Bombyx mori: one gene and its partners. The protein of the gene in region 1 interacts with the protein of each later gene in a pairwise test. Links are inferred from orthologs where the notes say so. Each region holds a gene or a part of one and is shown in the gene's direction. Other genes may lie near its edges. The genes, in order: 14-3-3zeta, Golgi phosphoprotein 3 homolog sauron and slowpoke-binding protein.

Evidence for each region.
Region 2: the proteins of 14-3-3zeta (region 1) and Golgi phosphoprotein 3 homolog sauron interact in binary tests that used the Drosophila melanogaster proteins (3 or more experiments, as listed by UniProt). The link is inferred for Bombyx mori from reciprocal best matches to the Drosophila melanogaster genes 14-3-3zeta and sau.
Region 3: the proteins of 14-3-3zeta (region 1) and slowpoke-binding protein interact in binary tests that used the Drosophila melanogaster proteins (3 or more experiments, as listed by UniProt). The link is inferred for Bombyx mori from reciprocal best matches to the Drosophila melanogaster genes 14-3-3zeta and Slob.

The regions. Positions count from the first base shown.
Region 1 is NC_085111.1:7,657,936-7,662,317, forward strand, and holds the start of 14-3-3zeta (14-3-3 protein zeta), read left to right. Parts: upstream 1-1,444; 5' UTR 1,445-1,677; intron 1,678-2,098; exon of another isoform or gene 2,099-2,133; coding exon of another isoform or gene 2,134-2,349; intron 2,350-2,546; 5' UTR 2,547-2,689; intron 2,690-2,877; coding exon of another isoform or gene 2,878-3,126; intron 3,127-3,490; coding exon of another isoform or gene 3,491-3,735; intron 3,736-3,997; 5' UTR 3,998-4,080; intron 4,081-4,232; coding exon of another isoform or gene 4,233-4,260; exon of another isoform or gene 4,261-4,382. Other genes in the region: mRNA turnover protein 4 homolog, read right to left, coding at 2,134-2,349, 2,878-3,126, 3,491-3,735, 4,233-4,260. UniProt on the Drosophila melanogaster protein: Required in Raf-dependent cell proliferation and photoreceptor differentiation during eye development. Acts upstream of Raf and downstream of Ras, and is essential for viability.
Region 2 is NC_085111.1:10,440,781-10,444,904, forward strand, and holds the start of Golgi phosphoprotein 3 homolog sauron, read left to right. Parts: upstream 1-1,324; 5' UTR 1,325-1,646; coding exon 1,647-1,832; intron 1,833-1,922; coding exon 1,923-2,070; intron 2,071-3,008; coding exon 3,009-3,107; intron 3,108-3,801; coding exon 3,802-3,977; intron 3,978-4,124. UniProt on the Drosophila melanogaster protein: Phosphatidylinositol-4-phosphate-binding protein that links Golgi membranes to the cytoskeleton and may participate in the tensile force required for vesicle budding from the Golgi.
Region 3 is NC_085109.1:12,643,796-12,648,246, forward strand, and holds the start of slowpoke-binding protein, read left to right. Parts: upstream 1-1,565; 5' UTR 1,566-2,004; coding exon 2,005-2,305; intron 2,306-4,189; coding exon 4,190-4,319; intron 4,320-4,451. Other genes in the region: mitochondrial 2-oxoglutarate/malate carrier protein, read left to right, coding at 148-269, 870-1,071. UniProt on the Drosophila melanogaster protein: Regulator of calcium-activated channel Slo. Increases or decreases the voltage sensitivity of Slo, depending on the absence or presence of 14-3-3-zeta in the complex, respectively.

The DNA.
Region 1 (4,382 bases):
CTTTATCGAAAATACGGCTTTTACTAGTCCTTATATTATTTAATATTAGTTTTTTTCACTTTGAAGACCAGCCAATAATAGGAAGTATTTTCATCTCATTATTCCTTAGCTGGAGTCTCCATGTTCGTACCGTAATCAATACGTATTGATCGCAGAATATAATTATTTTCTTAATAAATATTTAAAATTGTATATTACAATGTGAAGATAATAATAATTTTGCCAGCGTGAAAGGTCTGTTAAGTGGCATAAGCACCAGAGAGAAGGGGTGCCGGGTGTTTAAGCCCTCCACTAAACACGACGAGCCACGACTAATGCAAAGAGTATAACATAAAGAAGGAATGGCCTACGTAGTGATATGTCCGCTGCACTCCTATTGGGTCATCCAACTATAGTGTTTCAGATCAATGCGTATTCATTAACATCTTCACGATGAAAAAATAGCATAGTGAAATAAAGTCAAACCCGCAATAAATTGTTGCTACGAGCTAGCTTTTAAGATATAATTATGGACAGTATTAAATTAAACACTTACACTTACTTTCTATATTATCGCGTTCGTTTGTGCTTATAAGCTCCCACGGTTTTAGAACGATCAAACCCTTTAAACGTTACAATTTCTTTAAATAGTAAGGGGCTTCGATTATCATTTGTAGTTCGCGTGGGCTCCATTAGAATGCCGTTGGTCAGTTTTGGTTGCGCTATTTGTTAGTGGGCTCAATGAATTTGGCCCCCTTTTTTTTATTTTCAGATTTTTTTTATTTTTAATTATTTGTTCGTTAATGTTCGAATGTAATGCTAGTTAGATATAAAATAATTAATAATTGGGAATTTAATTGTTTTTATGATTGAACAATCACCAATAGTCGTCGAACAAACGATAATTGATCAAAATTAATTAATCTAAGCGATAAAAATAAAGATATCTAGTAAGGAGGGGCAACTTAAGGGTGATCATTTGTTTAATTAATCATAAATAAATAAAAGACGAACAAAAAATTTTTACATTCGAACATTAACGAACAAACGACAAACAAATAACTAAAAATAAAAATAAAACAAAAATAAAAAAGGGGGCCAAATTCATTGACCCTTGTTAGTGCCATACAAGAAATAGCTGTCGCTGTCAATTTTTTTCTTGCCCTTGTAGGCAAACGAGCATACGGCTCCTCAGATGGTGAATGATTACCGTCGCTCATGGAAGTCAACAAAGGCTTTTGTAAGAAGAACCAAGCTGCTGCCTAAAAGAAATGTTGTTGGGCTAAACTTTCCTTATGGTCCGTCGATTTGGAAGTTCACAATTTTTTTGTAGATAGTACTCATAAATAGAAAGATTTCTGTAAAATTTCAAGTTGCGGAAACTCACGGTTTACAAGATACATTTTTATAGTTTCTATATAAATTGGAAAAATCAAGGTAAACCTCAAAGTTGACGTTTCACGTTCCATTTACGGTAAACGTGTATGTACTATATTAAATTTTATGTCATGTTTTTTACCGAAATATATTTTATTATTTTATATTCTATATAATTGATATAATATTTTAATATATAAGAATAAATAGCAATGCTATTTTAATCTAAAATTTTACTAAGGATATCTTCATGTCCATGAGGGATCTGCAGGTTGATGATGGTACAGGGGGTAACCCCGCGCAAAATTGATGGACCATAATGTAAATTTTAATCCTATTTTTACTAATTAGTGCTATTCTAACCTCAAAACATTAACCATGAATATCTCCGTAACCATGGGGTTCCGCGGGGTGGGGATGGTGCAGAGGGTAAACCCCTTACCCTCTCCCTCCCCCACTCTCACCCCGACCCAATAATCGACGGACCATAAAGGATAGTTTAACCCTGTACAAGTTAGTGACTGGCTGGTGTGCCAGAGTGTTCTTCTCTTAAGATTTTTATTATCTAGGATAACTTTATTTGTAGTACCTAACAATTCAAATTTAGCACAGTAAACAAGATAGTCCAAACAAAAATGTAAGCAAAACCTACACTTGAGTTTAAAATGAAGTATTGATAATTGGCAAGTAATTTTGCAGTATTATGTACAAATCATTCCTGACCTTAGTAAAAAAAACGTAATGCTTAACATAATTTATTGTGATTAAATAAAATAGTTATGTCTCTTCCATTATTTCGTCTACAAGTACATTTTCTTGATGATCATCATTCTCTGCCTGTTCTTCATCACTTGGAGAATCATTGTCTATATGGATACCTTTTCCTTTTGTCCAGTGACATTTAATCACTAACTTAAAATCTGCCATTTCTATGCCTATCAATTTTAATATACTTGCTTGTTCTGGGGTCAGTGGAGCACCTTTCTTGCAAACCTAAAAAATCAAAACGAATTTGCCATTATTACTTACACCACAGTAACTAAAACTTCAGCCTACATTATGTTTCGATAATGTCAACACTTTGAGGTATTAAGTAACACATAACTAATTACAAAATTTTGAAATTAAGTAAAATGTTGTGCTTGACTGCTGTACAACATATAATGTCTGTATTTTGGTAATTCTTATAGATTTTGGAGTTGTTGAGGCCGAAAGGGTTACAACCCCAGTGTGGATACTGTACGATAATCGGAAACGCTCGTCACAATGGCTGAGCCCTGGAGACCCAGCCAAATCCTGCCCTAAACGGAAATTGAATCAGAAAAAGTCACTTGTAAGTGTTTGGTGGACTAGCGCCGGTTTCTTTTACTACAACTTGATGATTTTTTAAATTCATATATGTTTCAAGTCTATTGATTCATTCACTTTAATCGATGTTTTTAAGCAGGTCTCTCACTATGAACACAAATGTTACCTATTAAAATAACTAAATATTAGTGAATACTATGTGTTTCACATTACCTGATATTCTTTTATTAGATTGATAACACCTTTTTCTAGAGATGTAGGTAAGCCCAAACGTCTTAAATGTGGCTCAATAGTGTGTGAAAAATCTGCTAGAGGACCTTTGGGTAATAAAACATCTTTTGTTGCAATGAAGCCAGCTCTTGCATATTCTGATGCTTGATAACTTTTAAACCAGTTCAGTACATCAGGCACATCTCTATTTGTCATTAGCAATCCACACTGACCTTTTAATTTTTTTGATAACTGTAACATAAATTAACTTTATTTAAAACATTTAATGCGCTAAATGATAGAAGTTTATTATTGCTGGATGTCACAAAAATCCAATAGCTTTACTTTTAACTCTTACTGTCTTTATTAATTTTCAATATTGAAGTGCTTGAAGACATTATTTAGACAGGATGCCATTTTCTAAGACAAATTAGTAGTTTCTCTCTCAAATTATACTTATAAATTGTTCACAATTTAATAATTTATGTTCTCCAGATATAAGATGATGAAATAAGTAAGTCAAAGTCAAAGTCTTCTAAAATATTTTGTTGATGATAGATATCCAGTCTTCACAATTCAGCTTTACTCAAAACTAAATTAAGCTACATACACTCACCAGATTTAGTTGCTCTTCTATTTCATCACTCTTGGTCTTACCAAGAGCAATAGCCATTACTTTATTTTTTCCAAAAAAGAATCTGGAATCCTTCCAATCATTCCGTAGGTCCTTTAATTTTGTATTTCTCATGTTATTGATGGTAAACAAAAATATGTGTTCATATTTGCTCAGTGAATTTCTTATTTCTTCTATGACTTTTTGTTTGTGTACTAAACCTTTTTTGTTGGTTTTTGTAAGTGATACTGAAATCAAATATTTAAGGTATGATATACTGATTTTTTTCACTGAAATTGTAATAATTATTATATTTATATGATTGTAATTCAAATGGTTAAAAATGATTTATTTGCTTAAGTACTCGCTTACTTTCATTTCAAGGCAGAAAATGAAAAGGATTTTGCGAAGGCTATTATGATACTGATCATTACTTGAAACTTGGATGTTTTGTTTCACATGTGCATGATACTGCATGGAAAGCTGTTTATATTTTAATCACCTTTACAGGCTGTTCACTATCTTCTGGGAGTTTTAGAAAAGAGAATAGACTTTCCTAGCACACCTAACCCCTTTTTGGTGACAATTTTAAGGTTAGAACGATTTTTTGTAGTGTCGCATTCGTAAATTAAATCTACGGAATACAATCTATTTTGACATCCAAATAATGCCATAGGGTACCAAATTTAACCCTAAGTTCTGTGATTGCCACTCTGCTAAAGTATGATTTTAAAAAGTCACTTACCTTTCTTATCCCTTTTTGATTTCGGCATATTTGTTTTATTATTTTATTATGGAAAAGACAAAATTTACAATTTAATTAGTTCTGCAATTTCAAAAATCACGTGCACTGGATTTGTTGATTTGTTGTAAATTAATATTCGTGATCACAGTT
Region 2 (4,124 bases), about 2.8 Mb from region 1:
TAAATATAGAATATTTAACCTTTCTCCTCCGCTTTTTTCTTTGTTTTTTGTGGAGATGCCATGAACGACATTTAGTGTTCACAATTTTATGTATAATATTTAAAAATAGTCTCTTTTTTGTTTTCAAAATGACTATATCAAAAAAAAAAATGAAAAAAAAAAAAATTTTTGGATTTCAATGATCATGATCGAATTTTGATCATTGGTAAAAAATATACAGACGAACCACAAAGTGATCTTATCTTTTTTCTGTACTTTGCGCCTGGTCAAAAATTTGTACTTTATCGACATGTTTAACCTCGGCTAAACTGGGTGTAACTGGGTCGCGACTTCTAAACACCAGATATAGCTTAAGTACGTTTGCGTACATGCAGAAGATGGTGTCAGAATTTCAAAAATTTGGATATCGGGGACTGTGTTACGATCTCTGAATTTATAAACTGCATCGCTTAATGTAAGTTACGAAAGTCTCTGCAGATTCTCTGAGGAATTAGCCGAGATTAAATTAATCTATTCACATGAAACTACATCAAATATATTCTCCAATAAACTATAGTATGAGATTATTTCTTCCACATAATCGGTCTTTCATCAAAATAGATATCTTGGGGAGAGATAAAATGTTTCTTAAACTATTAAGCATTTATTTTTAGTAACGAAGCATCACCTTTTTAGTGCAATATATTATTATGTGAAAACAGGTTATTATATCCTTCTACAATATATTTCGTAATCTAACCATTTCATCCAATGCAACACCATCACAGTCCCACACCTCCTGTCAAATCAAGTTCTTCTATCTGATGATAGTTTCTGTGACTACTGGGGTTTTAACGTGAAATTAATTTTAGATTCCGGAAAAGGAATCTGCTAGAATATCCAAAGAAGACAGCAGGCGCTGCGATGCATAGTAAGTGGCACAACTGTCTTTTAATTGTCCGTACTGTCGTTAATACTGAAGAACCTGATCACGATAATGGGAAAATTTTATTAATTTACTCTATTGCCATCGATTCTCGATAACTATACGAATTTAAATTAAATCCAAAGCTTTAAACTGAGTGAAAGTCACTTTCAAAGATACATATGTACACACCAAGCACATAAAAACTCGTTAAAATAATACCTCTCTGTGGGGTTTGTACAACAGTATAGTAGCATCACTCTGAACCCTTTAGGAAGCTTTAGGTATTGAAGATTTGAAAGTAAATTCAATGTAAATTACAATAAAGTAAAATAAGTCGCAGCCCAAGTACTCAGCTTGGTACTCGACTTCTTTGGATACTCGAGATTGTACTCAATTTCTGGCTATCCGAGTTGAGTTCTTTCTTAGTATTGTAGCTTGCAAGTGCAGTATACAAATACATGAAAATTTCTAAAAGGTATTCAAATTCATTTAATTCGACACATTGCTAGTAAATCAATCAATCGAAATGATTTGAATAATATTTGCAAAGATGCATAAAATTACACACTGAATGGTTCTGGTGAAAAGGAACGTATAGTCGGCCATGTTTTCGACAACAACATCACGTCGCAACGTAAACGTCAACTTGACCATTCATTTACAATTTTTCGATATAAATATAGTTCTTTCTTGTGAAATTAATTAGTTTTAGCATTTTAAAATATAACTTAATGAGAATATGAACCGTACTGAGGGTTTAGTGCAACGAAGAAATGTTATAAAGGAGAGTAACACAGACGGACAGAAAGAAAATCACGACAACGATGATAAGAAAAATGATAAAAATTATGATGACGGAGATTCCAAGGAAACTAAATTGACATTAATGGAAGAAGTGTTACTGTTAGGGTTAAAGGATAAAGAGGTGAATATTTACATGACTAACTGATCTGATAAATACAATGGCATTCCAGCAGTCTAAAGATCGTGACATGCTCATCTTCTACCGTTTCAGGGTTATACATCATTTTGGAATGACTGCATATCCAGTGGTCTAAGAGGATGCATTCTAATTGAACTGGGCTTAAGAGGACGACTTGAACTGGAGCGAGCTGGAATGCGTAGGAAAGGCTTGTTGTCTAGAAAAGTGATTGTAAAGTCAGGTAGGTGACTACTGCTCAAGTTTAATTAACAAACCCATATATCTGTTTTAAAAGTGACGATAAAATTTTGAATATTCTAAAGTACTCATTAACAACTGATCAACACTGAAGCTAAAGGTACTATTAATGCTAAATTGATTAAAGCTATATTTTCTCACATAGAATATCCTTTTTGTTCCAGAAAATGCATTTCTTTAACCTAGTATAAATATAGTAAAAAAGTTGACAATTTAATTTTCTTTCATCCAAATTACAAATATTGAAATTTGAAAATTGTCTGAAAAATTAATCACTACATCCTAAGTTTTGTTTACATAATATATTTTCTAGAAATTAAAATTTATAAGCTATAAGACTTAGACTAAATAGCAACCACATAACATCAAATGAGCCATAAGGATGTTGAGTAGTCCTCAATGTTTAAAAAAAAATTGTAATCTTTCACACTTACACAACCTCAAAACCATCTATTATTCTTAGTATATGGTGAGCAGATAATGATGAACTAACAGGGGATTTTTTGTGACAGACGAAAATAAACAATCTTACTAATTATTTAAAAAAACAAGCTATCAATAATTAACTATAAAAGAACTAAAGTATCAGCTTGAATTGAAATTAATTTTGATAACATTTAAAAAATACATTAGCAAACATTATTTTATTGATAAAATATTTTCGTAGAAATAGTCAATATTTAATTTTCTTTTATATTTAGAAGCAAATTATTTAAAAATAATAATAATAATTAATAATAATAATTTATTTATTAACCTTGATACATTTACACATAATAATTTATAATGGTTCTTGAAACTTGTTGTGCAAGATACTCTAAAGCAATTTCAAATTCTAATAAGCAAACAAAATTAATTATTTCACTATCAACAAGCTCTTCTTAAATTACATTGTAACAAAATAAAATAAAAACATTTTAGATACTTTAACCGGTGATGTTCTGCTAGATGAAGCTCTGAAACATATGAAAGATACTGACCCTCCAGAAACAGTACAAAGCTGGATTGAATATCTGAGTGGTATGTAAATATTTATGATTTCAAATGTTACAGTTGTGCAACAAATATGACATTTACCAAGAGCTTAGAGTTTATGTGTTGTGAAAATTAAGTTATGCAATTTTATCAGGAATTGTAACTTTGTGTTTTGGAGGGCAATAGATCCAATTTCACAGTTTTTGAGAATTGGAAATAAGTATGTTATAATCTTGAGAAAAAACTATGGTTTATGTTAGTCAATATTTCTAAGAGATTTTAGCTCTAGGCAGGTTTAGAAACTTGGCAGTAGATTTTAGTATAATACCAATAAGTGGTTAAATTAAATGTTGAATAGATTAAAACTCCTAAAAATTATTCAAAATAAAACAATAAATCTTTTTAAATAGAATAACAGATTTAATTTTATTTTACAACAAATTGGCTTGGCGCAATTGCTTTCCAAGGCAAGGATATTTACTAGGGTTTGCCTACTGATCAAAATTCAAGCATAATTTCTGGCACCTTAACATCTCTTCTGCCAGAAGCTGGAATGGCACCTTAGGCTACCAGCGAATAGGTGGGGAAAAGTGTTTAAATTCTTATATATTACATTTATTTGCTTTATTATCAATAGCCACCTCATAAAAGAAATTATACTTCACTGTTTGGCCGTGGCCTATTTATATGAAAATATATGGAAATGAGTTTTAAAGATGTAGATGGACAATATTTTTAGGTGAAACATGGAATCCAATGAAACTGAAATACCAGTTAAAGAACGTACGCGAAAGATTGGCTAAAAATCTGGTTGAGAAAGGGGTTTTAACAACAGAAAAACAAAATTTTCTTTTATTTGACATGACGACACACCCTCTCACAGATAATGTCGTTAAGTGCCGTTTAGTTAAAAAGGTAAGTCAAATAATAATGTTTTGATATTTAGTTATTTAAAACCCTTTATTATTAAAACCAGCTACTTCAATACACACCTGCCAATTAACAACAGTAAAGCTGATTGTTTATAAATAATTTGCAATAATAATGTCGTTACCATTAAGG
Region 3 (4,451 bases), on another chromosome or scaffold:
AGCGAGTCCATCAGACTAGTCTGATATGAAGCCAAAAATATAGGGCATGAATTAAAAAGCCCAAAATGCATCCCTGCCAATTGATATCCTTTAATTTACATTATAATGATTGCTTTTCTTCAATAATTCCACGTCGTTTTCACGCAGACTCGCAGGGCGTTACAAGAAAACAAAGTGGCTAAAGGTTTGGAGTTGCATTTCTACACGTCGATGATATCAAGCTTCATCGCAGCCGTCATCTCGTTGCCGATAGATCACATTAAAACTAGGTTAGATGTTCTCGTGAACGCATCGAGTACAGTCGTGATGAGGGTCGGGCATGTGACCTCCTATCCGCAGCACTAAACATAGATTGATTCGCAAAGCAGCTGCCCTTGAGTTGTTGGGTCTCCTTTGGAGGCGCTCGGGTAGCTGTTAGCAAATCCCACCCCTGGTAGCTGAGGCCGTGCTCGTCCACGTTCTGGTGAAACTAGAAAGGCCTCCGGGCTACTAGTAATCCTTCAATCATAAAAAAAAGAAGAAAAAAAGCATTAAACAGGGTGATGAAATGGCCAAGCTCCATGTGCTCTCCACTAATGTTTCTTTTTAAATATAAAATGCAATTATTGTTATGAATTAACATTTTCAAAAACATCAAACGGCCATTTTTACTTCAACTTTTAGCTTTGGTTATTACCTTCTAAGATAAACGAGCATATAGACACCATCTGGTGATAAATGGTCGTTACTTAAGGTCCTACCACCAGTAAGTAATAATTAATCCAGATGCTCCGAGACCTCTTCCTATACAGTCGTCCCGGAGAGTTCAGTAAAATTTTAACAATAAATGCATTTACATAACAATTAACTTACATTATTTTCTCAAACAGATACCAAGTTAGAAGTGATTGTGTAACACAGAAGGAAATTTTGGCGGACACAAGGAGGAATAGGGGCATATTTGGTTTGTGGAGAGGATTCACACCGTACTATTTGCGGATGGCTTTTCACACCTTCATCACTTTCTATCTGTTGGAGCAGTTTTTCGAGATGTACCAGAAATGGGAAGAGCACGAGAGAAAACTTAGATGAGGCTTGTTTAGATGCCGAAGAGAATGGACTCCGTGCTGGAATGTTTTAATCGAATTGCTAGTTTTTGCATTGGCTCAAAGTGAATGGCCTTTTTATAATCTGTCTCTTGAAGTTCTAGTATTTGTCGTGCTGATTCGATCTAGAATTTTTTAAGCTGAAGTTTAAATCAATTGTTGACGAGTTCAAATGAAGTCCCCAAAATGTTTAGATCTAAAACGTGCAAGTCCATAGTTACTTTGGTTTGTTTGCAAATTTTACTCTTTAGATTTATTGGCAATAGTTTATGTGAAAAAAACCTAAAAAGACAAACCTAAGCTCCTTTATACAATACAAATACTTTATAAAATACACTTTTGTTTTCTTAAATGTCACAGGCGAAGAACACTGCGGTCGTCTAATGTAAGAAAGTATTCATTAGCAGCAGTAAAGTCATGCTGCCATCTTGCTGCTTACCCAAAATAACTCTAAGGAAGTACTGTAGAGTTCATTCTAGAATTATAACACAAGTGGCAGAAAAGACCTTTCAGATACGAGAAGCCGGCATGTGGTGGTCGCATTAATCTTTGTGTTCTCTAGAATGTGGATAATTCCCCTTTTTTCCGATAAAACATTACCTTGTCGCGTAATTGTATTGGATTAAATATATAAAGTCATACATAAAGACCGACATCGGAATATCGTACGCATAGATGTGCTCGCGGATAATGCGGCATTACAGGGGCTTCCATTAGTTCCTTTTGACATACTTTTGTATGAGTTACGAGCGAATTGCGGTCTGCGATGCACACGTCTTTCGATTCTCGTCCTTAATTCAAGCGTATCTGGATTAAAGCGAAATTCGTGACGTAGCATTTAGCGTTTCATCTATTTGAACTAAGATGGTGTGTTGATATTGGAATTATTGGCATTTAAAAAATAATAATAACGAAATTGATGAGAAGCAAATTTTGGAGTTTGAAAGCGTTCTTACGAAAGAAGTCTAACAAAATGTTCAATCTATACCAACACATGAAGTCCAACAACGAAGACAAGGAGCAAAAGGAACCAGAGACTACCGGGCACGACAGGTTCTATCAAGAACGTCCGAGAACCAGCTATAGGAAGAAGAAACGCCGCGGCGCCTGTAGACGGGCCCAATCTGCAGCCGAACTCAACCCTGAATCCATTGCGGCTGCTAATAAAAGGAATGCGTTTCGTATACGCTCCGTGTCCACAGATAGAGAAGAAAGTGAAGGTAATTAAACCTTTTTAAATCATGTATTTTCAATTAAGGAACATTAAAAAATAACTATTATTATACAATCATTAAAATGTGTCTGACTGAAAGTAATTAAAACATTGTTGCAGTCAAATTTACAATCTACAATCTGATTTCAGAAGTATTAGGTTTGCAGATGCAAATCTTTTTCTATAGTAGGCAAATAACTTCTACTTAGATGTTTCAAATTGAAATTGAATGCTAATATTCATTCATTGAGAGTCCAAAACGCTTTACCCCTGTTGCGTCAGCTGTTTTTTGCAAATTAACCCCCACAAACGAATACTATTTTCTATAACTGCCACATAAAATGAGTTTCGAAACTGTTATAACTTTACAATATCTTCATGTCATTTGAGTGAACTGTGTGCTTAGTGTGAGTTTTTTACTTTCTCGATAGCGTAAAAGTAACTCAAATTGGTATGCAGTTGAAACAGCGCTCCTAGCGGCAAACGTAGACAAACGTTCCAAATCCATACAAATTTTATTTAACTTTTACGGTGTCGAGAACGTTAAAAAATTCGCACTAAACGCATTGAACATATCAATGTGCATGCGTAATGCCCGGCGTATATTGGTAATTGCATTAGGTGTTGTAGACTAGAGATAAGTAGCAATAGGAATTTTGCACATACACAAATTTATCTCTTTCTGATCATTTATTAAAATGAAACCAGTAAAAGGTTCGAACCTGATTTTTCTCTCAACTATTTATAAATTGTTGGTGCGTATGAAAAATTCAGAAGTTTAATTAGAAAGGTGTTTGGTAAACTTCTGTTTGATTTTCCTGTATTTTTTTTTGTTTCGCTCACGGACGAAGGCCGAAAGCAAGAAGGAGAGGCATCCTCGTGCGCTTGTAGTTCAAGTACCTATCTACGTAATTTATTTTGATAATGAACTTCAGACCTACACACCTCTGCTGACTGCTTTTTTTCCCTACCTGTTCTAGTAACCTCGAGGGGTTATTCTAGATTGGCCGAGCTAGTAGGTGAGCTCACGGCGCTCAAACCTGATGATGTTGCTAACACAAACCCTACCAAGAGCCGTGCTTCGCAGAATATACCACCGAATCGGCAACGCGACCCACTGAGAAGATCCGGCGAGAAATTCGGTGGGCTGTATCTGTGGGTTGATTTACTCGTCGAACCCTTCGTCGTAAGCGACGGGTTCGACGAGAATGATGACCGGTGCTTTAGGTACCTAAAAGCAACGTTAGTGGATCGGGAGGATCCGCAATGACGTGTTTTGGGCAACGTGCACTATTCGATTTCAAAATCATATATTTCAATTGGGATATAGTAACACAATTTTTTCCATGGCCATGGAACGTAATGTTAAAATAATTTCTACAACCGATTCACAGAAGAGTCACACTCCCCTGGAAAAATTTACGATAATGTGATCTTAAATTTAATTTTTTACGATACGATGTTGCTTATTTTCTAATTTTATGCCTGGCTTTTTATTATTAACAATATGCGAATAATAAAAAGTACAACATATGTATAGACAATGTACCGCAGAAAATCCCAAAAAGTAAGGAAAATTTATAAAATTTTAGGGAAATTTTCGAAATTTTACTTGAGAACTAAATACAAGAATTAAGATTTCTTCAAACCTTAAGACGTTGATTAAGGGACCTAGATAAGTAAATCTAAGTGGAGTGTAAAGTCTGTTTTATTGCTGTTGTCCATTTACAACTGTAACTATTTAGATCGGATGCGCTAAGTTTCGTTTGTCTCTGTTTAAATAGTTATCATTATCACGCCACAGGAATAATTATAAAAACTTAAATATATTATATATAGTTGCCTAAAATAATAATAAAAAATTGAAGTGTCTATTTTATTGTACTTTTAGAAGAGAATTCTGAGCGTGCACCTCTCGTGGCACAGAAGATAGACTCCCTGGCGAAATTGCTGTTCAACAAATCCCTTATTGGCACGGGCTCTGGTAAATCATCTCCATCAGAACCGACAGCTTCGCCAAGGTAATATAGAATTTATAATAGGTGAATAAAGTTTCCCAAAAAAAATACTTAAACTAATAAGTGAAATAATAAGTATAGAATATATAATAAGTGGAATATAAATAGAAATGAAGAGAATATAATTGCAAATTT